6 linked regions of the Macaca fascicularis genome follow. Each later gene encodes a partner of the first gene's protein in a complex. Links are inferred from orthologs where the notes say so. Each region holds a gene or a part of one and is shown in the gene's direction. Other genes may lie near its edges.

Region 1 (5,100 bases):
CAAAAATGGAGAAGGAACATGGTAACCCAATAATTTCAAGAGACAGCTGAAATGCTCCCTAGACATGTAATTCCTGCAATTTTGAAAAATAGATGTATGTGTCACATAGTAGTCTGTCTGGAAGGAATAGGACTAACAAGATTGTAGGAGGGTACCTCAAAGTTACATACAGAGTTACTATTCTATAAAGATGGGAACTTACTGTTCTAGACTTTTGATGGTAAAAATGTGAAAATTTCAGACTACAGCAGTGGAGAAAAGGTGGGGTGAGAAAGAGGATGGAAGTGTTTTAAGTGACAGTGTCTAGCGACAAAATTATCTTATACTGTTGAGTGGTAGAGGGAAATAATTTGAGATCTCATCTCCTCTAGCCAGATCTATACTCAGTGATCATTTTTGTCTGAGAAACCTGGAATATTTCTATTTTTAAAGCACTTGACTTGAGTTTCTCAATGGATCAAATGCGCCCTCTGATAATTGTATAATTATCATCCCTTAAGAAGAAATCATCTTCTGTGAGATGTTTCGTAAATCTTTTGCCCTCAGTGGCTGAGAGGTTACCTTCTGGGGAGGCTGAGCACTAGTGGCTTGTTTACGAGGCTGGCCTCACTAAGCCAAGGAATCTTGTCAAATTTTGCAACAGAAGCCTAGAGGGAAATAGAGAACATTTTACAGAATGTATCACACTTAAACATTGCTATCATTACGATGGCCGAAGTCAGCTAATAGCAGCCATATAGTGAACACTTTACAAAACATTTTTATATTTTATATTTGACTCTTTGACCATCTTATACAGTAGCCAAGTGCAAATAATGTCATCTCCATTTTACTAATGAAGAAATCCAAGGTCAGGTAGTGTGATTTGCCTTGAGTCACTGAGCTAGTAAATGGGTCATGTTTTCTGACTTTTGTATCCACTGTATCCCGTGTTTTACTACATCCCTTTGTTTATTATTTCCTTTGTTTATACATCCTTTAATATTTCTATGAACTCAGTTTAATTAGCAATCTTCTCCTTTCCTCTTTTAGGAGTTAAAGAGGAAAGAACCAAGCTTTGAATCTATGGACAACTGGATATTGATCTCTGTTCATCTACTTCCCAGGTGCCTGTCCTTGGACAAATTCAACTTATCTGAGCCTTAGATTTGTCCTCTTTGAGGGAGAAGATGATATAATCAGTGTAAAGGTCAATGTACCAAAAAAGAGAGTTTCATGAGAGCAGCAATTTTTGTCTGTTTCATTCACGGCTGTATCATGAGCACCCCCAAGGAGGGCTTGTTACCTGCAGGCATTCAGTCAGTATCTGTGGAATGAACGCATGGATGCATGGGAAGTCCCAGCTGAGGGCCTGACTTAATAAAAGGAGCGCAACAAAAGCTGCCATTATCTCTCACCCACTGGCCCAGCCTCTTTCCTTGTCCTCTCCTGCCTTACCCAGCCCTTCAGATGGCACATCCCATCTTTCAATAGGGGATTGCTGGAGATTTGCCTTCCTAGGCTCAGAGCATTCGGGTTTGGGCCAGTCTGCAGGAGAGGAGTCCGGAGGTCCTCTGAGCAGCCAGGAGGGGGCAGCAGCCACGTCGCGATGGTTCCGGCTGGGGAAGGGTGCTCTCGCTGAGGAGATTGCGGCAGACCCGGAAGTGCTCCGCCACAGTCGCAGCCCCTGCGCCCCGGAGCGGGAAAAAGGCTGGGTGCCGCCGTCCCCCAGCTGCGCATCCCTAGGAACTCTCGGGCAGGTGGGTTCCGTGTAACTGTCAGTGTTTCCGGGGCTCCTTCTCCTCTGCTGTCTCTCGCAGGCTCAAGGCTGAGTGAGGGGTGGCGGCTGGAGTGGGAGGCCCGGAGAGTGAAGGCGCACCCCTGGGGTCACCCTACCCTACCCTACCCTACCCTGTCCCCTCCCAGCCCCACTCTGCGGGCGGGCGCTGCCCTTTTGGGCGTCGCGAACCCTCCAGCCTCGGCGGCGGCCTTAAGATTCCCGGGCTGGGATCCCTGCTGCAGAGAGCGGGGTAACGGTGTCTGGCCTGCCAAGCAACACTTGTCGTGGTCTTCATGGAAAAAATAAAGTCGGGCAATATGAAATTTTTTTTCCTTAAATTTGCCGGATGCCTGTGGTGTTTCTGACTCTTAGTTTTCTCATTGTGAAAAAGGGATGATTACCTTTCTGGATCCTCACAAGAGTTTCCTTGTTTTGAGTAGACTGATAGCTCTTTAAAGGATGCTAAGCTCAGCTAATGGAAGAAGAGTCTAGTTTCTTTGAGTCTTTGATTTTGGCTAAACAAACTGTAGAGCTCATACCTTTCTGTATGGTGCAGCTTACTATTGTCTTTGGATTGGTAATTTAAAAAATATAACATGCCTTTGAGAACCAATAAAAGCTATGGATATTATCCGTATAAATTCACACAAATCCGGATATAAACATGCAATGTGATACACCGAAGGGGTATGTGAACCACTGAGTTAAGAACTGGTTTAGAGGGAGATACAGTGTCAGACACAGGCTTTGGGATAAGACTTTGGTTTGAATCCTGGCTCTGCTCTGTTACTTTAGGGCAAAGTTACTTAAGCATCTTGAATCTCAGCTTTTTTACCAAAGCAGGACTAATACTAACTTGCAAGGTTGTGAGGATTAAGTGAAAGAAGATACATAAGGCATTTAGCACATAGTAGGCACTCAATAAATGATAGCTAACAGATGTCTTTTATTATTCAAGGAATTATAATTTTCAAGTCTGAAATGCAGTTTTAATGTCCCAAATTAATAAGGTGACTACCACATACATTTTGCTCAGACTTTTAGTAAACTGAGTTGATTTGACTTTAACTCAGTACTACTCTTGACCTTTCACAACTTTTGTAGGTTCACAGTCTCTCTTTTTCTAGGAACTTGGCTGTGTTGTCCTGCCTCAGAGACAAATTCATCTGTTGTAGGCCTAGCCTGGGTTGCTGCCTTTGAAAACAAGGAAAGGTTGATAGAACATCAACCACAGCATGGAATTTCCAGGGAGGTCTCATTTCAAAACTTCATAAAGAACAAGAACCACCTGGACTTCTGTGAGGGCGATGATTAAACTGGCCTGAGTTTGAATGAAAGGATAATGTGTGCCCAACCTGTAACTAGCACCAAGGAGGTCAAGTGGCAGAAGGTCTTGTATGAGCGACAGCCCTTTCCTGATAACTATGTGGACCGGCGATTCCTGGAAGAGCTCCGGAAAAACATCCATGCTCGGAAATACCAATATTGGGCTGTGGTATTTGAGTCCAGTGTAGTGATCCAGCAGCTGTGCAGTGTTTGTGTTTTTGTGGTTATCTGGTGGTATATGGATGAGGGTCTTCTGGCCCCCCATTGGCTTTTTGGGACTGGCCTGGCTTCTTCACTGATTGGGTATGTTTTGTTTGATCTCATTGATGGAGGTGAAGGGCGGAAGAAGAGTGGGCAGACCCGATGGGCTGACCTGAAGAGTGCCCTAGTCTTCATTACTTTCACTTATGGGTTTTCACCAGTGCTGAAAACCCTTACAGAGTCTGTCAGCACTGACACCATCTATGCCATGTCAGTCTTCATGCTGTTAGGCCACCTCATCTTTTTTGACTATGGTGCCAATGCTGCCATTGTGTCCAGCACGCTATCCTTGAACATGGCCATCTTTGCTTCTGTATGCTTGGCTTCACGTCTTCCCCGGTCCCTGCATGCCTTCATCATGGTGACGTTTGCCATTCAGATTTTTGCCCTATGGCCCATGTTACAGAAGAAACTAAAGGCATGTACTCCCCGGAGCTATGTGGGGGTCACACTGCTCTTTGCATTTTCAGCCTTAGGAGGCCTACTGTCCATCAGTGCTGTGGGAGCCATACTCTTTGCCCTTCTGCTGATGTCTATCTCATGTCTCTGTCCATTCTACCTCATTCGCTTGCAGCTTTTTAAAGAAAACATTCATGGGCCTTGGGATGAAGCTGAAATCAAGGAAGACTTGTCCAGGTTCCTCAGTTAAATTAGGACATCCATTACGTTATTAAGGCAAGCTGATAGACTAGCCTCCTAACTAGTATAGAACTTAAAGACAGAGTTCCATTCTGGAAGCAGCATGTCATTGTGGTAAGAGAACAGAGATCAAAACAAAAAAGATGAACCAAAGGCTTGGGTGGTGCGGGTTCTTATCCTTTCCGTTATTTTGTGGATGAAAATACTTTCTGGGACCCTCTTGAATTACATGCTGTAACATATGAAGTGATGTGGTTTCTATTAAAAAAATAACACATTCATCAAGTTGTCTCATGATTTTTACATAAACAGTAGGCAGAGGGGCATGAAGAGTGAAGAGTGTGTGCGTGTGTGTGTGTGTGTGTGTAAAGTCACTTCTCTCTACCCTTTTCAATGTGCTAATGCTGTTTTATTTATCTAGGGCTCAAATCCTAGAACACAAGGTGCTGTGTTCAGTTTTGTTGCCCAATATCACAGAATTGGTTACCTAACCTTGACTCAGTTTCTACCTTGTTGTTACGGAAGCATATACACAACTAATTACAAAGCAGAGTGTGATGTGTCATAATAAGCAGAATGCTAGGGGGAATTCAGAAGCTGGAGATAAATTTCAGCTGGAATAATTAGGAAATACTTATGAGAGGCAGTGACATTTGAGCTTAGTCTTGGAGGATAGGGAGACTTAAGTAGGCAAAAGATGGTTTTAGGGCAATGTGTTGAAGGCCTTTAGAGGCCAGGTCAGTAACGGAAGCAAGTGAAACTGGCATGCTTTGTGTGACTGATGGCAACTGTGAACAAATGGAGATGTCCAATGGAGACACCTGCTACAGTGCTCCAACTGATAGTTTCTATTCACAGTTTGTGCATAGACCCTTAGAATTCCAGATAGGATTCTAAAAGAAGTCCCAGTAACTGTATATCTGATTTTTAATATGAAATCTGACTTGTAAATTCTGTCTCAAGTTTAAATTAATCAGGCTAAAAACACGTTTGCAGCAACATAAGATTACTACTGTACCACATCTGTCCTTAGCATGGGCACGATGATGGGACAATATTTGATGGCACTTCAGGGTTATGGGGAGTTTTGGGAGGGGATATTGGGAAAAAGTCAG
Region 2 (4,660 bases), on another chromosome or scaffold:
CTAAAAGTCTGACACAGTCTGGTTATAAAAAACAGTGTCTTCTGAGTGCTATTTGAAAACCTGTCCACTAATCAAAAGTGTCATTTATAGTAGGGAATCATTAAAAAAAAAAAAAAAACATACCCCCTTAAATATTTAATATTTGAATTTAACTCAAAATATTAATACACACTGAGTTGCCAGTAGTTGGATGTAGGACTGCCAGCTTTGAGTGCTGGGCCACTGGTTTCAGCTGCATCTTGTACACTCCCTTTCACAAAACATAATCTACCATTGCTACTTTGAGTTTCTTTTGAGTGGGGTCAGAACTTAAAGGCATATGAACTGATATGCTTCAGGAATTTTAATTTGTTTTCAGTTTTATACAGCAGTTTAGGACACCCCTCATCTGCCAAGAACTTTTTTCTGTGACTTTCCTTTATTGGATTTTTCAAACTGTTCAGCTTAGTTTTTGTAGAAACTCTTTTTATCAGTTTATGTGATATTGAATTAAATTACTCAACACGATGACAAGTACAACTGACATCAAACAGATGTGTGAACAAACACAACTGTTTCTTGATAAGCACTGAGCTCAGTGGTGTGCCAGTGTGCTAGGGAGTGGCCTAAAATCTAGATGTGGGCCTTGGTCAGTTTACGTTTGGAATGGAGAACCTTGATTGACCCAGCAGTCCATTTAAGTGGAGGTTGGCAAGGAAACTTGGCCTGAACTTCCTTTTCTGGTTTGAAGGCAATGACATGCTTTTATTCTTTAATCAGGGACGTGTGAACCGACTGGCATTCTGTATTCTGAATTCCTCTTGGGACATTAGGGATGTGTTTTTTGTAACTTAGGAAATGTACCTAATTTATTTTTTAACCAAATAGCATATCTTCTTGAGATAGCTAGCTAAGAAAGAGTATGACGCATGTGTGATCAAGGATCAGCAAAATTAACAACCCATACAAAGATTAAACCTGTTACCTTTCCTTCTCTAACGTGATATTTTAACCAGCTGAGCTAACCACCAATGGAGTGATGGTATGGCCTTTCCTGTACTCAATTCAGTAACTAAACAGATATTTATCGAACCCTCTCCAGATGCCAGGCACCCTGCAGAAAGTAACATTCTTAGAAGGAACAGCCATACCTGTAGCCCAAGAATGAGTAGTTCTATTAATGGTCCATTCCTTATTAACAAATTAATTTCCTCAGGAGTTTATTGGACCAGATATCAAAGTCCCACTAGAATGTCTTAAGTGAGAGAGAGGATAAATCAAAGTTTTCCCTATCCAGGCTTTTTGGCTGCCTTCTTCCTGAGCCTCCTCTTCCAGTCTGTTTTGCTCTCAGTCAGGATTTACCAGCACTCTGTGCATGTGTAGGCACGCTCGCCCGCTTCCTTCTGTAGTGGTAATGACAACCTACATTTGTATTCTGCAGTTGATAAAGCCTGTTCGTGGTATAATACCTCATTTGACCCTCCCAACAACTGTAGGGTAGATGTTATCTACATGAAATTGAGTCTCAGAGAGGGTAAGTAACTCACCCAGGTTACACAGTAAGTAACAGAGATGACACACGTGAGTCCAGCTTTTCTTGAGCTAAGGTCTCCTCTTCCTCTACCATGCCCAGCCACTCATATCCTAGGTATAGATCAGAAGGTTCTTAAAAATATTGTTAGACTGAGCTTTAAAAGCAGTTTGAATCAGAGATTTTCATTGTCTGTTTTGTGTTCACATGGCAGTCGAAAGTCTCTAGGTTCCATTGCGTTATACCCTTCTTAGAGGCTCCAGAATAAATTTTTTTATAGTGGTGGGGAAAAGCCTTTATTCTTAGAATAAGAATATAGATCACTGGTAATAGTAATCAGTTCCATTTCTTATGAGATAGTTGTCAGGAGTAAATGACATAATGAATTTAAAGTATATTGCCTGTCACAGCAGGCACTCAGTTCCTGTTAGCTATTATCATTTATGACTATTGCTCTATGTTGTTTTTTATTTGTTTGAAGAATGGGCTCTTAACCTTGTATGAGAAAGAAAAGGGTGAGGAAGAAAATGGATTGAAGGAATTGTAGATGACTAAATGTTAAAAGTCATTAAACTACCTTCTGGTTTATCTAGAAATCTAATTGAGTGATTTGGTAGTAGACATGAAACAAAGATAGCTATGATTTTAATGAGAAGCCTTCATATTCAGAAAAGCTGTGTGGGAATTTTTGATACATATAATAATAGTTTGAAAGTACTAGCAGAGTTTAGTTAATGAATTCTACTTTGTATTATTTAATAAAAATGACCCTATATATATGTGTGTGTATATATATGTCATATATATGTGTATATATATGACATATATATATGTCATTTCTCCTGTCATCTATTTTATAACTGATCTGCCTATTTGGGGTGGAAGATTAATGTAAGAAATACAATTTTTATGTGTGTGTGCATTTTTAAAATTAGTAAACTTAGCTCTAGGTGGATTGTTTTATATTTACTTTTGAATATGTACGATTTGTAATTGTTAGTGAACAGTGAACTAGATTCTCAAATAGTGTTGACATTGTTGTGACTTTGGATAGCCACTCACTTTTTCAGACTAATAGGGCACAATTTACTTTATTGTTTTCTATTACCTGAGATTGTGTTTATATATTATAAGAAAATCATTTTGGAGAAGAAAGGAACCAAGATGCATCCTTTTGTTCTACGGACTGTAGTGATCTAACAGTTCATGCCCTGCCGCCTTCATTTACCCCCATTCCAGGAAAGTGGGCTATAGCTGGTTTGAACTTAAATTTTGCTAATAATGTAGTGTTCACTGCAAAATTCTCTGTACCAGCCACGTTTTAAACAAAGTGGAGGCAGCAGTTAGATTTCGTTGCTTAGCCTTTTCCTATGGCAGTAGGTGGAATCACAGACTGATAGGATCTTATAGCTGAAAGAAACTTTAGGTACATAGGAATCTTTATAGATCATAAAACTTTCCCATGATCAACGGGCTTGCTGGTAAAAAAGCTGGGACAAGACCCAGATCTCCAATCAGCTGCCTGCTCTGGAGAAAATGAACTCAAACCTTAACCACCTTAAATTTACCTTTTTTAGAAGTATGCAATGTGTAAACACAAATGAATAACTTAAAGAATAGTCTGTTGAGATGGAACAGAATAGGCCATATTTTGGGTGTGTGGAAGGTAATGCATGTCAAGGTCTACATCTTCAAGAATTGTAAGTCTTGGGGGACCACTGCCAGTTTGCGAACAACTCCACTTTCCTGGGAAAGGTTTAAGAGAGTTTCTCTCCTTTATGGAGTGCGTAGCTAATACTTTTCAAAATGAGTGGATTTCTCAGTAGTTCTGGTGAATTTTTTTTAAGTTTAAATATTAATATCTCCAACATTCAAATTTATATTTTCAGGGATCGATTTGCTTAGTGGTATAATACCTGAACTCTGTCAGAAATATCCAGATTTAAATTTCATAATTGGAGGAGAGGGACCAAAGAGAATCATTTTGGAAGAAGTTCGGGAAAGATACCAGCTGCATGACAGGTATTGATGAATTTCATGTTGTCTTGAGGGAGAAGTTGTCAATTATCTCTATTTGGTTTTAACTGCATGCCTACCTTAGGTGTGTTGCTTCTCCTACATGTAATTGGTATACATATAATTGATATAAATCTAATGCAAGGACTTTTCAAAATTTTTATATAAAATAGGAAACCTAGTTGAAGAATTCACAATTTTATTTTTTCCATTAGCCCAATTTGACTTTGGGGGGCCATTGTTGGAGGCACCATGAAAGGCACAAAAAACAACTGCTTTAACTGGAAGCGTTTGCAGATTTCCAGGCCATACTGTATAGTGATTTAAGTAATAGGGCTCAAATCATGTAAATTGCTCTGCACATACAGATTTGGACAGGTCTCTTCCTCAATAACCACACAACACAAGGCATGTACATGTAAAGCGTCAATTTTAATAAAAGGGCCATTTTCCTGTTTAGAAATGGCACTTTAACATTTTAATTATCAAAGTTTATTCATATTATTACATACAAACTAGTTTTGGAGAAGATAAAGTTTGGTATGTGTAACAGAAGTTAGAAATAATGTTCGCTGTATGAGTTTTAACCCAACTGCTTTATAAGGCTGTTTCTATTACATCAGTGTTTGGTGATACTAATCTTTTGAGGTGGAGAACATTAGCAGCAATAAGAATTTAAGTGTCATATAAATAGCAGACTTGGTTTATAAATTAAGTTTCTTTTGTAGCATGAGTTTTCACAGCCTTCTTTCTTCCCCTCTCATTTGAAAAATCAGGGTGCGTCTTTTGGGAGCTTTAGAACACAAGGATGTTAGAGATGTCTTAGTTCAAGGACATATTTTTCTTAATACCTCCCTTACTGAAGCATTCTGCATGGCGATCGTGGAAGCAGCCAGTTGTGGTTTACAGGTAAAAAGCTTTGAGGGCATTCATGGTTGGGATTTCTGTATGTTTTGAAAAATAATGAGACACATTTCATAATAATGTTTTAACTGGTTTTGTTGATCTTCCTGAGGGCATGATTATGGTGGAGCATGCGTTCTTTCTTTCTTTTTAAGATTGTAAGTACCAGAGTTGGTGGAATTCCTGAGGTGCTTCCAGAAGACCTTATTATTTTATGTGAGCCTTCAGTAA
Region 3 (3,975 bases), on another chromosome or scaffold:
GAAAAGCAGTCGGAGCAGGAGCACCCTCGGAACCAAAGCGCCCGCCCCGCCTACTCACCGGCAGCGTTTCCCAGAGCACCAGGGGGCGGGGCCTGGTCGGCTGGCTTGTACTACCGCGGAGCGAGGAGCTCGGCCCCGGCTGGCGGAGGCGCAGTGAGGCCTGGTCTCCGGCTGCCAGACCATGCTGAGCGGAGCACGCGGCAGGCTCGCCTCAGCGCTGCGGGGAACTAGCGCAGCGCGGTCCGCGGTCGCCTGTAGGTGTCTGCACGCGTCGGGCTCGCGGCCTTTGGCCGACCGGAGCAACAAGACGGAGGAGCCGCCCCGCGCCTTGGATCCGGCGCTGCTGGAGTTCCTGGTGTGCCCGCTCTCCAAGAAGCCGCTCAGGTGACTCGCTGGTCTTGGCCCTTCCTTCGCAGCCTCCCGGTGGGCGGAAAGGGAGTGGTGGACCGCGGCCTGTCTCAGCCACTGGGGACTTGTAGGTCGGTGAATACTCTCCGCTGCCATATTCTGGACTCTGTCCCCGCCGGTGCATGCACCTCCCGCTGCGGCGGGCAGAACGGGGGAGACCGGAGGCCAGGGGAGCCGCGTCCCACATCTCCCAGAGCACATAGCCAGCCTGCCGGAATGGCTCGAAGCGTTTTAGGCTTCGCGACCGGCTGCTCTTTGCAATCACCCGGGGACCGTTTTAAAAATGCCGATTCCCCTGCAGCCCCCAAGACGGGCAGACTTGGAATGCTCGGGGGTTGGGACCTGAACATTTGTATTTTCTTTTTTTCCTTTTAAGAGACAGGGTGCCCCCCTACGTTGCCCAGACTGGCCTAGAACTCCCACCTCAGCCTCCTCAGGAGTCGGGAGACAGGCGCCGCCGCCACGCCCAGCTTATTTGTGTTCTTAAATGGTCCCTAAATGATTTCTAACGTACCACCAGGTTCTTGAATTACTGCGATTCAGGACAAGTCCAAAGCCATCCGGTTTTTAAGCCAAGATAATGAAAAGTATTTTACCCTCCAGATTCTTGTGAAAGTGTCTTGTACAACTGGTGCCTGACAATCTTAAGCAATTCAGCTGTGTATGCTGCCTGGTGGCTCTTAGTTGTGGCCTAGCAGATTTCTTAGAAGCCTCTTTAACCTAGTTTTTGGGAAGACAGCTCTACAGTTTCCAAGCTCCCAAAAATGGAATATTGACAACACTAACGCTAGTATTACAAATCGCATAAACGAAACACCAAAACGTTGTCAGTGGTTATCTTTGAGTGGTAGATTGCTAGCAATTTTTCATATTTCTTTTTTCCCATAATAAACATATTCAGTTTTCTCAAACCTTGAAATTATTTGATTTGCGTTTATAACTAGCTCACGGCAGACTTACTGCTTTCCAAAGTTTCCTCATTTCTGCCCTCTCACCTTTTCCAGTGATTTCCTTCTAATGGATTAGTTAAGTTTTTCTGCTTAGCATTTATTCTAAAACGAAGAAGTTGATTTTTCTCTAGTGTTTATTCCAGTAGTAAATTAACAGAGATGATTTGGGGGTTGACCAAAGTAATGAAGGAATATTTGGATAAGAGAGGGGGATCTTTTCTGACTAGTATGAAAAAAAAATTAAAGAATAACTTGTGAATAAGGTGAAAAAGAGAATATGAGAGAAACTGACTAAAATGGGAATAATTATAGATTCTAAGAGAATTTTTCTAAGATAAAAGGTTGAATTGGCTATCGTTGCTTTTAATGAAAGAAGACTATTCTGGGATTAACTCCATACCAAGAATTGGATAAATGATGGTATTTGTTGAAAATCAGGCTCTTCAATTATTTTATTTTTCCACAACTCATTTTGTTCTTTTTTTTTTCCACCCCAGATATGAAGCATCAACAAATGAATTGATTAATGAAGAGTTGGGAATAGCTTATCCAATCATTGATGGGATTCCTAATATGATACCACAGGCAGCTAGGATGACGCATCAAAGTAAGAAGCAGGAAGAAGTGGAGCAGCGCTAGTTCATAATTAAAAAAACATAAAACGCAACAGCCAACTTTTCTTAGTACCATATACCTTTTAAAACACAGTGGCAGGTAATAAGTGGAAGAGAAGAATGTTTCTGTCTCTTCCTACATTGACTGTTCTTATTCCACTGGTTTCTTTAACAGGACTGTTCTACTCAGCCTCTGTGGAAGAAAACTTCCCACAGGGCTGCACTAGCACAGCCAGCCTTTGCTTTTACAGCCTGCTCTTGCCTATTACCATACCAGTGTATGTATTCTTCCACCTTTGGACTTGGATGGGTATTAAACTCTTCAGGCATAATTGATGCAACTAGAGTCAATATGCTGTATACATTAATGGTAGTTCTTGGGCATCTATCTCTGAAAGCTCAAATGGATGGAATTGAGTTTGTGGGAAAGAGGCTTTGCTTTGCGCATATCAGGCTTAGGACTGTGGGAGGCTTAAGTTGCAGGTGCTTCTTTTATTGTGCTCTTGTTCTGCCCTTGTTTTTTGAAGGCTCTGACTTATAACTGCTGTATCAGAAGAAACATTTTGACAGTGTCTTGTTGGAGATAAACATCCCTAATTGACATGTGATGACTATTTCTTATTCCATTCATCTAAAAGTCATTGAAATTTTGTTTTGCTTGTTTGTTTAGCTTCAAGGTCTTTGGTAAAGTCACATGTTAGGGATGACTGAAATAATTCCAAAGGAGTGATGTTGGAATAGTCCCTGTAAGGGAGAGAAATGCATTTGAATGAATGTGATACAAAACCATATAATGAAATAGAAATTTCATGTACTTACAAAAATTGAGTTTGTAAAATTACCTTCATTTCTTTGACATTAAATGCTTATATTAGCAATAAAGATGTTGACACTTTCCCATAAAAAATAAACCAGTTTGTAATCATTTGTTTTGTTTATTTGTTTGGTCACAGAAGTGTTATTGATACTAAGGGAAGTTGTAAAACTGCACTAAATATAGCTGTGTTGAGAGAGGTACTTAATACCTAAAATAGAATCATTTCCTAGGAAAGTAGGGGGTGGGAAGACTTGCAAGTAGTGGATTGTGCCCTGTTGAGCTTAGAGCCATATTTTGAGCCACATTTCAGTTTATTTTCCCAGGACGCTGAATAACACCACTAAGGGCATGAGCATCGACACATTAATAGCCTCTGATTTTCCAGAACTTTCAGTAAGACTAATCGAGCATAGTATAATACTTCTGAAGTATAGTGTGTTTCAGTAGTTAACCCAGAGAAACCAAAGAACCGAATACAAACTTTATTTTTATTGGAATCTTATGTTAACAGAAACCTGAAACAGTGATTCTTCTGCATCAAAAAATTAAGACATGTTAGATGTGTTTTCTTTTGAATTAATTCAGGGTATACTGTAGTATAAATGACATGTTAAAATTACCCTATGGCAACATACAGATAACCTGGAAGACTACAAGTTCCCAGGTATTTCTTGAAGAGTTGTTCTTTTCAGTTAACCCTAAATCTCACACTTAACCTTAAGTCAGGGAAAAGGAAACAATTCTGAAAAGTACGTACTCTATCTCAAGAAGTCAATTGCAATTTCAGCTTTTGGGGAAGTTGAGTGTTTGACCATTTTAGGAAACACTGACACGCATGCCCTTGGGGAGTTTAGTATTTAACACCATCCTCTCACTAATATAATTTATTTAGCTATCAGTTGTTATAGTATAAACATACACCAGGTACAATTATAAACATAGTGCTGTGTCTTCAATCTTATAACCCTAAGGAGTAGGTAATATTAGCACCATTTTACAGATAAGGAAACAAGCACAGAGAGATTAAGTGACTTACCCAAGGTAACATAGCTAATAATTGGATTGAAATGTAAACCATCTAGCCATCCGGCTTCAGTCTTAACTACCATGCCATGTGCCACTTTATTTTGTATTATTTGGTCCTTTCTATTTACAAGAACAAGAATCAAAATGCTTAGTTTCTAAT
Region 4 (4,660 bases), on another chromosome or scaffold:
GGATTACAGGCTTGAGCCACTACGCCTGGCTGGGTCCTTTCTTTTTTTAAAGATACAGTGTCATATTCTGGTACCCAAGCTAGAGTGCAGTTGTATGATCATAGCTCACTGCACCCTCAAATTCCTGGGCTCAAGTGATCCTCCTGCCTCAGTCTCCCTAGTAGCTGGAATTACAGGTGCAAGCTACTGCATTCAGTTGATTTGGGCCCTTAATTTGGAATTTTGGAAAAATAGTTTCTGAGATTGCTGTGATGATGGTGGACATTTTGCTGATGGAGGTTTTCCCCAGACCTATCCATTTGTTGTCTGGATCTGTTTCACTGTATACTTTTATAGCACCTCAGAACCCAAATAAAAGCAATTTCCTTTTCCTCCATGCATGTTCCCCTCATCTGACAAGAGAAGAAAGGCTTTTTTCCTCTTTGCCTGGAGTTGACTGGTACCACTTGGTAATCTTACTGCCTGTGTCTGGCTCTCTCTTCAGAACAGCATGATCCTCTCTGCTGCCATCTTCATCACCCTCTTAGGTCTGCTTGGTTATCTCCATTTTGTGAAGATTGATCAGGAGACTCTGTTAATCATTGATTCCCTTGGCATTCAGATGACTTCATCTTATGCTTCAGGCAAAGAAAGCACTACCTTCATAGAAATGGGCAAGGTCAAGGATATTGTCATCAATGAGGCTATCTACATGGTAAGTATTTGAAAGGCAGTATTACAGTCCTCTCTGGAGGAGGTAGCCAGCCCATGGGGTGTTCCCAGATCTATACTGAGCCTTAATACCTAAAGTACTTGATGTCACAGAATTAAACATGAAGATCCTCTGCTCTAGTACTTACAGTACTAGAGTTTTCTTTTTGGCTGGCATGTCTATAAACCATAAAAGTGAGACTTATATGTAAAAGGTAAATCTCCTTATTTTTAAAGAGATGCAGCAGGTTTTCATGGATAGAGAATTAGTATTTCAACTTTATCTTCAAGACCAACTCCAAAATTATCACTGGCATTTTTTCCTTCTCTTTCTTTCTTTTTTCTTTTTTTGTGAGACCCTGTCTGTTACCCAGGCTGGAGTGTAGTGGCTTAATCACAGCTCACTGCAGCCCCAACTTCCCAGGCTCAAGCCATCCTCCCACCTCAGCCTCCTGAGTAGCTGGGACTACAGGCATGCACCACCATGCTTAGCTCGTTTTTTCTATTTTTTGTAGAGATGGAGTCTCACTATGTTGCCTAAGCTGGTCTTGAATTCCTGGGCTCAAGCCCTCCTCCTGCTGTGGCCTCCCCAAGTGTTCAGTTTACAGGTTTGAGCCACTATGCCTGGCCCTGTCTTTTTTCATTTAAGGAACAAGAATATACTTTTCTCCCACTTCAAAAGCTATCAAGTGTTCTACTACTTAACCATTTGTGAAAAAGCGTTGAGCCTTACCTTAGAAAAAAAGAATGTGGCCAGGCGCAGTGGCTCACGCCTGTAATCCCAGCACTTTGGGAGGCCAAGGCGGGTGGATCACCTGAGGTCGGGAGTTCCAGACCAGCCTGGCCAACATGGTGAAACCCCATCTCTACTGAAAATACAAAAAATTAGCCAGGCATGGTGGCAAGCACCTGTAATCCCAGCTACTTGGGAGGCTGAGGCAGGAGAATTGCTTGAACCCGGGAGGTGGAGGTTGCAGTGAGCCAAGATTGCACCACTGTACTCCAGCTTGGGCAACAGAGTGAGACTCTGTCTCAAAAAAAGAAAAAGAAAAAGAAAAAAGGAATGCAAAATGAGTTTCACTTAGACTTTGCTATTTGATTTATTTTCTTACAGCAGAAGGTGATTTACTACCTCTGCATCTTATTGAAGGATCCAGTGGAACCACATAGGATATCCCAAGTAGTACCTGTCTTCCAGGTGAGCATAGAACACTTTTACCGTTGTCCAATTAATCCTCAACCTTTTCTGTAGGAATGTAAATTCCTTTTTTCAGAGTATTGGAAGACACCTGACAGCTGTTTTGAGTGATAATTAGGATTTCAGTTATTTGAGAAGTTCCTCTCTGAGGCAAATATAGTCCTTAAAAATATTATTCCTGCATATTTTATTATTTTATTTTATTTTATGAGACAGAGTCTCACTTTGTCACCTAGGCTGGCTTGCAGTGGTGTGATCGTCACTCATTGCAGCCCCCACCTCCTAGGCTCAAGAAATCCTCCTGCCTCAGTCTCCTGAGTACTTGGGACTACAGGTGTGCACCACCACACCTGGCTAACTTTTTTTTTTCTTTTTAGTAGAGATGAGGTCTTGCCATATTGCCTAGGCTGATCTTGAACTCCTGAGTTCAAGCAATTCTCCTGCCTCAGCCTCCCAAAGTGTAGGGATTACAAGCATGAGCCAGCACACCTGGCCTCATGCACATTTTAAAGAGCACAATCAAATATATAGCAACCTCTGCCTACAAATCACTATTCATCTACTTTGACTCTGTCAGTCTACTAATGTACAGTTTTTTAGATAGAGGTCATTGATCTCACATTGTATGCTATTGTGTGTCTTGCTTTGTAAATAATATGTATGTGTCCTACAAAGGCCATTATATTTATTATTTTAAATAACTATATTGTATAATATATTGAAATGTCAGTTTATTTAGCCACTCTTGCCACCTTTTAAAATCCTGCCTGGAGTTTTTTGTTTTGCTCTTACAAAAAAAAAAACCACTTATCAGCTGGTGCAGTGGCTCACGCCTGTAATCCCAACACTTTGGGAGGCTGAGGCAGCAGATCGCTTGAGCTCAGGAGTTCGAGACCAGCCTGGGCAACATGGTAAAACCCCCATCTCTACAAAAAATACCAAAATTAGCTGAGCGTGGTGGCACACATCTGTGGTCCCAGCTACTCAGGAAGCTGAGGTGGGAGGATTGCTTGAGCCGAGGAGGTCAAGGCTGCAGTGAGCTGTGATCATGCCACTGTACTCAGCCTGGGTGACAGAGATCCATCTCAAAAAACAAAACAAAAATTATACAAACATAATAAATTATACAAACATAATAAATTACGAAGTAAATTATTTTAGAGGTAGGTATTTATGCACGTATTTATGTATATAGTTAACCCTGCCTCACTGACCTTTTTCACAAAGGATTTAAGATAGCTAAGTTAAAATATTATTTTGCATTATAATTAAAAATTATTTTATTAAAGCTTATGAATAGTTTTATAGACTTCTAGTGTTTAAGATGGGGCTCCAGAGATTGGACAACATTACCATACTTTGGGGCTTTTGTACTTCTTTTTCTACCATCCTGGCTAATAGTGGATTTAGCTTTTTTAGCTTAATATGTAGGTAAAGGCATTTTAAATAGGTAAATTTGTATCTCTTTAAATGATAGGCTTTTCATATTTCCTTGTATTACCTATCAGTATTTCCTCTTATTTTAAACTACCTATCTTCTCTATTAGTCAAGAAGAATCTGAATATTATGTATTTGTACCTGTTTTTATATATTTTTAACAATCTTTATATATTTTAGGTAGTATACTTTTATTAAATATACTTTCACATATATTTTTCCCATTCTGTGGTTTTTCTTTTAATTTTGGTTATTACATTTCATTGTACAAAACATTTTTCAATATTTACATATTAAACTGCCCTTCTTGTCTTTGAGGGCTATTTTATAACGTGTGACATTTCTTGAGGGTCCATTTTGTTTTTCCTCTTTGCTTACTCTTAGAGATGGAGTTCATGAAACTTAGACAGATGAAAAAGCTATCATTTGATCTCCCACTTCACACAATTCACAAGGTGGGCTGTGAGCCTAGCTGGGACTCTTCCCAGCAAGGTGTGCTGAGGCCTAAACTTAACTCCCTGAGCTCACTGCTGTGCCATTTATACCCCTTGATGTGGGTGAGAGATTGAAGTTGCATGTGGGCCCAGTACCATGGCTCAAGCCTATAATCCCAGCACTTTGGGAGGCCAAGGTGGGCGGATCACTTAAGGCCAGGAGTTTAAGAGCAGCCTGGCCAACATGGTGAAACCCTGTCTCTACTAAAAATACAAAAATTAGCTGGGCATGGTGGTTCGTGCCTGTAGTCCCAGCTACTCGGGAGGCTGAGACACAAGAATCATTTGAACCCAGGATGCAGAGGTTGCAGTGAGCCGAGATTGTGCCACTGGGTGTGGTGGCGAGCACCTGTAATCCCAGCTACTCGGGAGGCTGAAGCAGGAGAACTGCTTGAACCTGGGAGGCAGAAGTTGCAGTGAGCCGAGATTGTACCACTGCACTCCAGCCTGGGCAACAGAGCAAAACTCTGTCTCAAAAAAAAGTTGCAAGTTGATGCATCTCCACTGTACTCCCTTATGTTCACTTTGACTCTGCATTTCTCCCCTTTGGAATTCAGAGTGCTAAGCCCCGGCTGGACTGCTTGATTGAAGTATACAGGAGCTGCCAGGAGATCCTGGCACACCAGAAAGCCACATCAACAAGCCCATGAGCCCCAGCGTTCAGAAGGCCAGCATTGTCTTCCATGGGAGATGACTCTTAAACCATAGGGGCTGGTTTTCTGTACTCTAAACCATCAGGTGGACACAGTCCTAGGAACCATTATTGGTGTAGTACATCTCAGAGCCATAGAGCAGGTGACTGAAAATCTAACTCAGTGTATTTCCGTGTACTGTAGTGTT
Region 5 (4,660 bases), on another chromosome or scaffold:
ACTACCCGACAGATAAGAACAGCTTCTGCCCTCCCATCTCCTTCAGTAGACACAAGGCGCTGCTTTTTTTTTTTTTTTTTTTTTTTAGGTAAACTTTGTAGATGAAGCACAAGGAATACACACAAAGAAAGCCCACAGATCCTGAGCACACAGCTCGGTGAATTTAACCAAAGTGAGCCCACTGCAGAACCAGCTCCCCCGAGAACGTCTGTTTACTGTTAGACCAATTGTGTTTCTTTTCCGACAATCTCTGTGGGTGGTTTTCCTTAGTCCCTGTGAAAGCTCTTCCCCAGCAGGGCGTGATGAGTCCCTGGGCTGAGCTGGGTGGTCCGCCTATGGTGGTCACACAGCCAGATGCACTGGGCCCCTCACAGGCAGAATTGCTCTGGCCCTGTCACGGTGTCCTTGGTGCCCCACCTCAGCTGGCCTCCAGGCGTCCACCCGCCGCCTGCCCTCTCTGGCCACTGAGGAAATGGGCATTTGTGGAGTTCTACGCCCGACCCAGAAGGGCTCTTTCCAGTTAGAACCCATGGCCTTGAGTGGTGGGACCCTCCAGCCCCGGTGCGGGCTGCCTGCATGGGAGGAGAGCAGCTGCACCAGGGACTTCTTAAGCCCCAGGCATTTCTGTGTGAGGCCTCTTCCAGAGCCCCTCCAAGCTTCGGGGGAGGACTTCCAGGTCACACCACCCCGAGGTGTGCGTCCCACTGTGTTCCCTCCTCCCTAAGGGCGTGGCGGGCTCTGGAACCTCCAGGCGTCCCGCTCTGTTCCCTTGTCCCTAAGGGTGTGGTGGGCACTGGGACCTCTAGACCCAGGCTCAGGCCAAGCTATGTCCTTCCCTCGAGTGTGGGCTCCATCCTGGGGGGTATCTGCTCAGGGTGGCTGCTCCACTCTTTGTGCAGGCGAGATGGGGCTTTCTGTGTCTGAGGAAGGCGAGCGGCCCAGCCAGCCGGCCAGCAGTGCTCCCACCGCTAGGGGGTCCTCCTGCCCTGTGGGACCCTGCCGGGGAGGGCAGCAGTGGAGGAGGAGGAAGCCCCAGCTGGCTGTGTGGCTCGGCAGGGACCTGTGAGAAAGGGGGAGGAGAGGCCCAGGGCCTGGGAACTGCAGGGGCTTGGGTGGCTTCCTACTCAGAGGCCACCTTGGAAGGCTGGTGTCCCTCAGCCTGAGAGTGCAGGACGCGGTTCCTCCACCTCTCCAGTACCTGTGAGCCTCTCTCTCCCCGTTTCTAGGCACCCACAAGGTTGGAGAAATACATTCTGGAGAGAAATATGCCCTGGGGTGGCTGTGGGGATGTCCGGGAGAGGCAGGCACTGCCCGGGTCCCACCGTGGGCGGGGGTCAGAGTGGAGGCCGAAGCCCCGTGTGCGCTGAGCCTGCTCCCTGAGCAATGAGGCAGGTCCTTCCTGCCCCCAGGGAGGGGCTTGTGAGAGGCAGGGACCTGGGGGGTCGCCCACCGTGTGCACGAGGGTAGTTTCGGCAACCCAGCAGCACTTCATTTTAAATTTTCATCTTTATTCTTGCTTAATATGTGAATCATGGTTTGTCACGGTTTCAATTGGCGTGACCTTGCTAATGAGATTGTATAGCTCTCCATGTGCTACACCTTTAAGAACATCTCTCTGATCGGGTTTCTTAAAAACAAAAATAAGAAGCCTGGAGTTCGGTTCGGCCCCACACCCCGTCAGGTGGTGCTGAGGAGACTGTGCCCTGGGCCGGCACGTCTGGAAATAGTAGGGCAGGCCTGGTGGCTGCATGTGCGTGGCTGCCTCATGCGGGTTGGGGTGAGGGCCTGGGGTGGAGGTGGGGACAGCGCTCCGGCTGCCCCTTGGAGCAGCATGGCCCATGTGAGGTGGCAGCCAAGGGGCCCTATGGCCTCCACCACCGAACTCGAAGCTGAGGTGCCCCGACCTGTGGCCCTGTGGCTGCACCTGTCAGCCCGTCTGTGCCACATCCCGCAGCCCACGGTGGGGGGCAGCAGCAGCTCTGAGCCGAGCCTCTCATCTTCTCTTCCAGCCTCCCAGCATGGTGCTCAAGGCCTTCTTCCCCACGTGCTGCGTCTCGGTGGACAGCGGCCTGCTGGTGGGAAGGTGGGTTCCGGAGCACAGCAGCGCCGTGGTCCTGGCGGTCCTGCACTTTCCCTTCATCCCCATCCAGGTCAAGCAGCTCCTGGCTCAGGTGCGGCAGGCCAGCCAGGTGGGCGTGGCCGTGCTGGGTACCTGGTGCCACTGCCGGCAGGAGCCCGAGGAGAGCCTGGGCCGCTTCCTGGAGGGCCTGGGTGCCGTCTTCCCCCATGAGCCCTGGCTGCAGCTGTGCCGGGAGAGAGGCGGCACGTTCTGGAGATGCGAGGTCACCCACCGGCAAGCGCCCGCTGCCCCCAGTGCCCCTGGTGAGGACCAGGTCATGCTCATCTTCTATGACCAGCGCCAGGTGCTGCTGTCACAGCTACACCCGCCCACCGTCCTGCCCGACTGCCAGGCTGGAGCCACCCCTGCCAGCACGGGGGGCCTGGCTGTGGTCTTTGACACAGTGGCACGCAGTGAGGTCCTCTTCCGCAGCGACCGCTTCGATGAGAGCCCCGTGCGGCTGAGCCACTGGCAGTCGGAGGGCGTGGAGGCCAGCATCCTCGTGGAGCTGGCCAGGCGAGCCTCGGGACCCGTCTGTCTGCTGCTGGCCAGCCTGCTGTCACTGGTCTCAGCCGTTGGTGCCTGCCGGTAGGTGTCCCGGGATAGGGAGGTGGCAAAGAGGGGCGCTCCGTGAGTGCTGGCCTGTCCCTCTGTCTGTAGTGGGCACAGAGGCCCAGATGGGCTCTTCCTGGGCCCAGGCCCCCTCCCCACTTCCTGCAGCCGGGCTTTGGCCCCATCCTGCCCTCCCAACCCTCGCCTCTCAGAGGGTGTCCCTCACCCCTGGGGTAGAGCCAGGTCTCCGGGCAGCCTCAGGGATTGCCAGGGGCCCTCCCAGTAGGTATAGAGGGTGAACCTCAGTGGCTCAGGTCCCTGAAAGAGAAATCACATGGTGAGCACAGATGAGACTGCTGCCACCGGGGGGCACTCCTGAGGGCGCACGGGCCCGCTGGCCTGAGCCCAGCCCGTGCCCCCAGCAGGCCTCTGGGCACTGCAGTGCTCATGGGCTGTGGGGGTGTCATCCACTTGCTGGCCCCGTGTGCCTGGGGGAGTGGTCTACAGGCCCTGCTGTTCTCCACACTCACAGGTGCTGCTGGCCAGGGGTCAGTCTAAGCCCAAGGGCCCTGGGGGGCATGGGGGTGGCCCTGAGCTGTGACTGAGAACAGAGGGCCCCCTTCCACAGGAGACCTCATGTGCCTGGCGGAGGCACCGCGTGGGGAGCAGCTGGGGGTCACCCTCAGTTGCCCCCTGCCTTAGATCTGGGGGTCCCTACTCTGGAAGCCTGGGGTGCTCTTCCTTGTGAGAAGCCCAGTCAGCCCAGGAGACCCCTGCCCAGGCTTCTGGGCCCCATCGGCGGGGCGAGGCCCTGGGCCCGTGGGAGTTGCTGTTGGCTCGCAGGTGCTACCTTGGCAACAGCTCTGGGAGCATGTGGTGACCACAGGGTCACTGACCCAGGGTCAGCACCTGTGAGGAGGCCAGGCTCTGTGTTAGTCGTGTGCACTGTGAGGTGGGTGCTGTGAGCACTGCCCACCACCACATGGGCCACCGAGGGCCCCTCCTACCTGCCCCTATCCCGCTGAGCTCAGGAGTGTGGCCTGGGTGTTTGTGGTCCCCTGCACAGTGGGAACGGTGGGAGCAGGATCTGGACAGGGGCACGTCACTCCTCTCCGCTCCCACACAGAGTGTTCAGGCTCTGGCCCCTGTCCTTCCTCGGGAGCAAGCTCTCCACGTGTGAACAGCTCCGGCACCGGCTGGAGCACCTCACACTCATCTTCAGTACGCGGAAGGCGGAGAACTCTGCCCAGCTGATGAGGTGTGGGCCTGCCCTGGTCTCCTCTGCAGGGTTGGGTGTGTGCCCTCTGGTCCCTTCCCCATCCCCCTCCGCACCACACTGACCCCTCCAGCCAGGCAGGCCTCCTCCTGCGGCCCCAGGCTGTGCTGGCCACCCTCATGCCGGCTGGGCCGGACCTCCCTTCCAGGAAGGCCAACACAGTGGCCTCCGTGCTGCTGGACGTGGCCCTGGGCCTCACGCTACTGTCCTGGCTCCACGGGAGAAGCCGCATTGGGCATCTGGCCGACGCCCTCGTTCCTGTGGCTGACGTGAGTGGACTGGGGTGGAGCCTGGTGTCCTGGGTGGGCATGGGGACCCTTCCTGGGGCAGCAGAGCCTTCCCGGACCAGAGCCACCCCCACCCCAAAGCCAGCTCTACCTTCTCCATGCTCTGGAGACATGGCCCTCCCCGGGACCAGGAGCAGGAACTCCAGGGGCGCTGGGACCTGGGCAGGGCAGGCCTTGCAGGCACGCCCCCCCTTTCCTTCTGAAGGGGCCGTGTGCAGGAGCCACTGGGCTGAGGCTCTGGGGAGCCCGCCTCGCCCTGTGGGCCCAGCGTCGTGGTGTCTCCCTTGTGGCCCCTACCTGAGGTCAGCGCTGCTCTCCTGTTTCTCTGGGGCCCTCTGCAGAGCCAGGTCATGAAACCTTCCCTGTCCAGGGCTGTCCGTGTGCAGCCCGGCTGGGACTTCCTGCCCTGCCCCTGTGTTGATTCTG
Region 6 (4,640 bases), on another chromosome or scaffold:
TATATAGTTACAATTACTTCTAAAACCTGCTGCTATAATGAGAAATTGTGATGTAAGTATAGAAGAGAAGAGGATAGGAGGAGGTTAATTCCTCATCTCCATATTAGCAAGTCTAGAGAAAATGTCTGTAATGGAAAAAATGAAGAAATAGTACTATGCGCATGTTTTGTAACAATGAGGAGGTAGGTACCAGAAGACAGCTCAAGTGCTCAAAGCATTTCTTTTTGGAGAGTGAGACTCCAAGGTTGAGATGGTGGGATAGAGGACTGCACTTTTTCATTATAAGTGAAACTATTTGTCTCTGTGTACATGTATAACTTTATAAAATTTAAATTTAAAAAACGTGTTGGCTTTGTGACTGACTCTCGAGAATTACAGCTTTTTTAAAGTGTCTATTATGTACTTTAATATTCTCTTTGGCAGATACTGGGCAGTTGCATTACCTGTCTACCTCCTTATTACTATAGTAATTGCCTACGTGCTCTTGTTTGGGATTAACATGATGAGTACCTCTCCACTTGACTCCATTCATACAATCACAGGTAACTTTATATAAAAGGAAAGTGCTGGGGCAATGAAAGAGTAGAGTATTAGCACTTTTACCCAGAAAAGCAACAAAGAACAGGCTGCATAACACAGTCGTGGTGCATTCCTGTAACCCCAGCTACTTGGGAGGCTGAGGCAGGAGAATCTCTTGAACCCAGGAGGCAGAGGTTGCAGTGAGCCAAGATCGCGCCACTGTACTCCAGCTTGGGCGACAAGAATGAAACGCCATCCTAAAAGAGAACACACGTATACACACATTGGGACAGTAAAAAGAAGCTACTAACAGAAATAAATACAAACTTATACAAAAGGAAATATTTGCATGAAGGAATTAAGTTCTGATGAATATGCACTAGCTATATTCATGGAGGAAATAAATTATAATGAATTATAACACTGGTTAGCAGGTGTATGTTCCTATAAAATGACAAGTATATACTATATGTGTCTATAATATGTTCCCATTAACTTTGCCTGAGAGAAACTTCTTTTATCCTGAACAGACACTGTTGATCAAGAGATAGCAAATAGTACATGCAGACCTTGTTCAGAAAAAGGACTTTGGGGGTGTGTATCCTCCTCAGGATCGTTGTGTACTCCTTATTCCAATTAGGTGGATAAAAGAGCCACAACACATTCTTCTGGTTTTATTTTTTTTTTAAGTTCTTTCAAGTCTAAAGATGAAAATAAATCAGACTCCTGAGCTTGGTTAAATTCTAGAAAGTAAGGTATTTTTTAAGTTCCCTGGTATGATTTTTCAACTTTTCAAAACCTTTATTAGCCTCTACAATTTATTTCGAAAATCAATTCTATTATTTTTAAATGTCTTTCTAATACACTGCATTCCATGCATTCTTAATTGGAATTGGCAGCAAATAGATAATTTGTGCAAAGAGGGGAAATTGTTAAGTTTGCATGAATATTTATACCAAATGATTTAATAGTTTTGTGGTGTTGATTTAAATACATTTTCAAGGCCTGGATATAATTCTGTTCCCATGAGAAATGTGCAAATGAGACTTTAATCATCATTGTACAGTTGATTAAAATACTAATTTCTTTCCAAGTTAGAGATGAAAAAAATACTTTACCAATTATGTTTTTATTTTAATAGGGACATTTCTTCTAAAGACAGGATTTATCATTTAATTATGTTAAACATGATGTTTGTCACTATCCAGACATCGGCCTAGTAAACTATGTGGTGGGTCTCCATCAGACACAGAGACTGTAGAAGAAATTGCTTGGGTAAACAGAACTTTTTGGTCTTTTCTTACAGATAACTATGCTAAAAATCAACAGCAGAAGAAATACCAAGAGGAGGCCATTCCAGCATTAAGAGATATTTCTATTAGTGAAGTAAACCACATGTTCTTTCTTGCAGCCAAAGAACTTTACACCAAAAACTGAACTGTATGTAACCATACTAACACCAAGCACGTATTTATTTATACATTTTTGCCATTATAATTTTGGCCATAAATTAATTTGACCATCTCTCTTATTAATAGAGAAGTAAAAAATGTCAGTTGACCTTCTCTTAGATTATATTCAATGAATATTGTAAATGTTCTGAAGTATTAATTGTTAATGAACAGGATAAATCCAATATTGCATTACCATATAGCAGAATTTAAAAAAAAATCAGTGTCAGTATAATCAAGAAGTTCCTCCAGAGAGGCATTTATATTGTAATTTGCAAAGGGCAATGGTGTCCTTCCTCCTGTTTATCCTGAGGGGCCCAGAATTCAAATCCTTAGTTTTGGGGGAGGGTACATTTAGTACTTGTGCCATCAGATTTATGTCTAAGACACAAATATTTGTTGAGGACTCATTGTGTACCAGGTATTTTTCTAGGCACTGGTGATGAAGTAATGGTAAGATTCTTTCTCAAAGAGCTTACATTTTTAGAGGCATGGTGAGGTGACTAAGCAAATAAATAAGGAAATGTGATTTGATGAGTGCTATGCAGAGAATTAAGATAATGTATTCTAGAATGCAAAGGGATGACTAGTTCACACTGGGTGGTCAAGGAAGGCCTCTCAGAGAGAGGCTGTTGGGATCTAAGTATAAAGCAGGTGAGGCAAAGACCATAAGGTGGGAAGGAGCTTGGTGTGTCCTAAGAACAGAGAGAAGACTGGCATTGGCCTTAGAGCATACCAAACGAGACAATGTGGTCCCAGGTTAGCCTGGAGAGACCGGGCTCAGATTGTGAAAGGCTTTGTAGGTCAGTGTAGGAAGTGTGGACTTAAATATAAGTGTGATGAGTTTGAGGCACTTTGGGATCAAGCTGTTGGGAGTCTTGAAGGAAAAGAGTGACATAGCCTGATTTCTGTTTTTTAAGTCATTCTAACTGGTGAATGGAGAATAGATTCAGAGGAGGAGCTGGGAAGGGGACAATAACCATATCCTTACCCAGTAAGCATGAGATAGATAACATGAATCTGCTTTTCCTGTTCCCTAGTTTGTCTCAGTTCCTGTTTTATTATGGTGAGAGCATGTCACCACACTTAAGAGCAGTATGAGGGGACTGGACGTAGTGGTTCACACCTGTAATCCGAGCACTTAGGGAGGTTGAGGCAGGTGGATCACTGAGGTCAGGTGTTGGAGACCAGCCTGGCCAACATGGCAAAACCCCAGCTCTACTAAAAATACAAAAATTAGGCGTGTTGGCAGGCGTCTGTAATCCCAGGTACTCAGGAGGCTGAGGCAGGAGAATTGCTTGAGCCTGGGAGGCAGAGGTTGCAGTGACCCGAGATCGTGTCACTGCACTCCAGCCTTGGCAACCGTCTCAAAAAAAAGAAAAGCAGTGTGAGGGAACCAGCCAAATCCAGCAAGTATAGAATGGTAAATAAATCATGGTCTGTTTCTACAGTGGAACACTACACAGCCGTGCAAACAAGAATGCATTACTTCGCTACCTAATAATATGAATTAATATGGCCATAACATTGGGCAAAAAAAAGCCAGACACAAAAGAATAAACTACTGTGTGATTCCCTTTATTTGAAGTGCAAAATCAGCAAAAACTAATCTATGGTGGCAAATATTAGAATAATGGTTACCTTTGGAGAAGAGTATTAACTGGGAGGAGGCATGAAGGAGCCTGCTGGTGAATTGAAAATGCCCTACCTCTTGATCTGGGTGGTGGTTATGGTTACATGGAGGTAATACATGTTTTTTAAAAATCATTAAATTATTAAGATTTCTGCTTCTGATGCAAGTTACACCTCAATAAAAAGGGGGGGAAAAACAGTACCAGTACCAATGCCCACCTCCAGAAAATGTTGATTAATTGGTCTGGAGTAGAGCCCATCGGGGTAATTTTTTAACATCTCCCAGATGCTTCCAATATGCAGCCAGGGTCGAGAATGACTCCCTTACATGATTGGACTCCCTTATATGACTAGACTTAACTGAGTTTTAGTCAAGCAGGGCAGTAGCTGTAAGCTTTGAAAGAGAAAGCCAGCAGTTATCCGAGCAGTTCCCTCCCATCTTTGTGAGACTCCTGCTCATGTCAGCGGTATTCCCTTGTCTTCCCCTAGGACCGGTGATGGACCTGAGACGGGTTTGAAATGGGTCAGAATAGAACCTTCATGGACTCTAGTGTTTTACTGCACATTAAGCCTGAAATTAACTTTTCGTTCTGGTTTCCAACCACTCTGTCCTCACAGGTCATGAAAGGAACACCAATGTTTTGCAAACTATGGGCAGCAGTGTTTTTGAGGGTCATGATCAGTTTAGTGCAGCAATTCTCTACCTTTTTTTAAAATCTTAGGACCCCTTTATTCTTGTAAAGAGTGAGAGCCCCAAAGACCTTTTGTGTATATAGATATATTTTAAAATTAAAATAGAAAATTTTTAAGTAATTGTTTATAAATAATCCATTACCTTTTAGTTATAAAATTAATTCATATCACATAATTAGAAACAAAATTTCTGTTACAGAAACATTTCGCCCAAATCATTGTTGTAATACTAAGCTGATTCTAAAAAGACAAATTTAGCATAAACATATTTGTGAGAAATAATTATATTTTGTAAAACAAAAAACTTCAGTGAGATAAGTAGAATTGTTTTACATTTCTGCAAGT

Evidence for each region.
Region 2: PIGC (region 1) and PIGA share a complex: the UniProt entries of both Homo sapiens proteins name them as parts of the glycosylphosphatidylinositol-N-acetylglucosaminyltransferase (GPI-GnT) complex. The link is inferred for Macaca fascicularis from reciprocal best matches to the Homo sapiens genes PIGC and PIGA.
Region 3: PIGC (region 1) and PIGY share a complex: the UniProt entries of both Homo sapiens proteins name them as parts of the glycosylphosphatidylinositol-N-acetylglucosaminyltransferase (GPI-GnT) complex. The link is inferred for Macaca fascicularis from reciprocal best matches to the Homo sapiens genes PIGC and PIGY.
Region 4: PIGC (region 1) and PIGH share a complex: the UniProt entries of both Homo sapiens proteins name them as parts of the glycosylphosphatidylinositol-N-acetylglucosaminyltransferase (GPI-GnT) complex. The link is inferred for Macaca fascicularis from reciprocal best matches to the Homo sapiens genes PIGC and PIGH.
Region 5: PIGC (region 1) and PIGQ share a complex: the UniProt entries of both Homo sapiens proteins name them as parts of the glycosylphosphatidylinositol-N-acetylglucosaminyltransferase (GPI-GnT) complex. The link is inferred for Macaca fascicularis from reciprocal best matches to the Homo sapiens genes PIGC and PIGQ.
Region 6: PIGC (region 1) and PIGP share a complex: the UniProt entries of both Homo sapiens proteins name them as parts of the glycosylphosphatidylinositol-N-acetylglucosaminyltransferase (GPI-GnT) complex. The link is inferred for Macaca fascicularis from reciprocal best matches to the Homo sapiens genes PIGC and PIGP.

What each region holds. Positions count from the first base shown.
Region 1 is NC_088375.1:30,040,470-30,045,569, reverse strand, and holds PIGC (phosphatidylinositol N-acetylglucosaminyltransferase subunit C), read left to right. Parts: upstream 1-1,630; 5' UTR 1,631-1,739; intron 1,740-2,863; 5' UTR 2,864-3,101; coding exon 3,102-3,995; 3' UTR 3,996-4,266; downstream 4,267-5,100. UniProt on the Homo sapiens protein: Part of the glycosylphosphatidylinositol-N-acetylglucosaminyltransferase (GPI-GnT) complex that catalyzes the transfer of N-acetylglucosamine from UDP-N-acetylglucosamine to phosphatidylinositol and participates in the first step of GPI biosynthesis.
Region 2 is NC_088395.1:15,129,820-15,134,479, reverse strand, and holds part of PIGA (phosphatidylinositol N-acetylglucosaminyltransferase subunit A), read left to right. Parts: intron 1-1,356; exon of another isoform or gene 1,357-1,491; coding exon of another isoform or gene 1,492-1,513; intron 1,514-3,399; coding exon 3,400-3,532; intron 3,533-4,302; coding exon 4,303-4,435; intron 4,436-4,584; coding exon 4,585-4,660. UniProt on the Homo sapiens protein: Catalytic subunit of the glycosylphosphatidylinositol-N-acetylglucosaminyltransferase (GPI-GnT) complex that catalyzes the transfer of N-acetylglucosamine from UDP-N-acetylglucosamine to phosphatidylinositol and participates in the first step of GPI biosynthesis.
Region 3 is NC_088379.1:94,069,982-94,073,956, reverse strand, and holds PIGY (phosphatidylinositol N-acetylglucosaminyltransferase subunit Y), read left to right. Parts: upstream 1-1,997; 5' UTR 1,998-2,092; coding exon 2,093-2,308; 3' UTR 2,309-2,897; downstream 2,898-3,975. Other genes in the region: PYURF (protein preY, mitochondrial), read left to right, coding at 182-384, 1,856-1,997. UniProt on the Homo sapiens protein: Part of the glycosylphosphatidylinositol-N-acetylglucosaminyltransferase (GPI-GnT) complex that catalyzes the transfer of N-acetylglucosamine from UDP-N-acetylglucosamine to phosphatidylinositol and participates in the first step of GPI biosynthesis.
Region 4 is NC_088381.1:135,493,563-135,498,222, reverse strand, and holds part of PIGH (phosphatidylinositol N-acetylglucosaminyltransferase subunit H), read left to right. Parts: intron 1-484; coding exon 485-694; intron 695-1,804; coding exon 1,805-1,888; intron 1,889-4,377; coding exon of another isoform or gene 4,378-4,470; exon of another isoform or gene 4,471-4,660. UniProt on the Homo sapiens protein: Part of the glycosylphosphatidylinositol-N-acetylglucosaminyltransferase (GPI-GnT) complex that catalyzes the transfer of N-acetylglucosamine from UDP-N-acetylglucosamine to phosphatidylinositol and participates in the first step of GPI biosynthesis.
Region 5 is NC_088394.1:1,324,964-1,329,623, forward strand, and holds part of PIGQ (phosphatidylinositol N-acetylglucosaminyltransferase subunit Q), read left to right. Parts: intron 1-88; exon of another isoform or gene 89-172; intron 173-2,009; 5' UTR 2,010-2,018; coding exon 2,019-2,707; intron 2,708-3,797; coding exon 3,798-3,929; intron 3,930-3,958; exon of another isoform or gene 3,959-4,066; coding exon of another isoform or gene 4,067-4,095; coding exon 4,096-4,216; intron 4,217-4,660. UniProt on the Homo sapiens protein: Part of the glycosylphosphatidylinositol-N-acetylglucosaminyltransferase (GPI-GnT) complex that catalyzes the transfer of N-acetylglucosamine from UDP-N-acetylglucosamine to phosphatidylinositol and participates in the first step of GPI biosynthesis.
Region 6 is NC_088377.1:9,909,078-9,913,717, forward strand, and holds the end of PIGP (phosphatidylinositol N-acetylglucosaminyltransferase subunit P), read left to right. Parts: intron 1-423; coding exon 424-542; intron 543-1,825; coding exon 1,826-1,956; 3' UTR 1,957-3,764; downstream 3,765-4,640. UniProt on the Homo sapiens protein: Part of the glycosylphosphatidylinositol-N-acetylglucosaminyltransferase (GPI-GnT) complex that catalyzes the transfer of N-acetylglucosamine from UDP-N-acetylglucosamine to phosphatidylinositol and participates in the first step of GPI biosynthesis.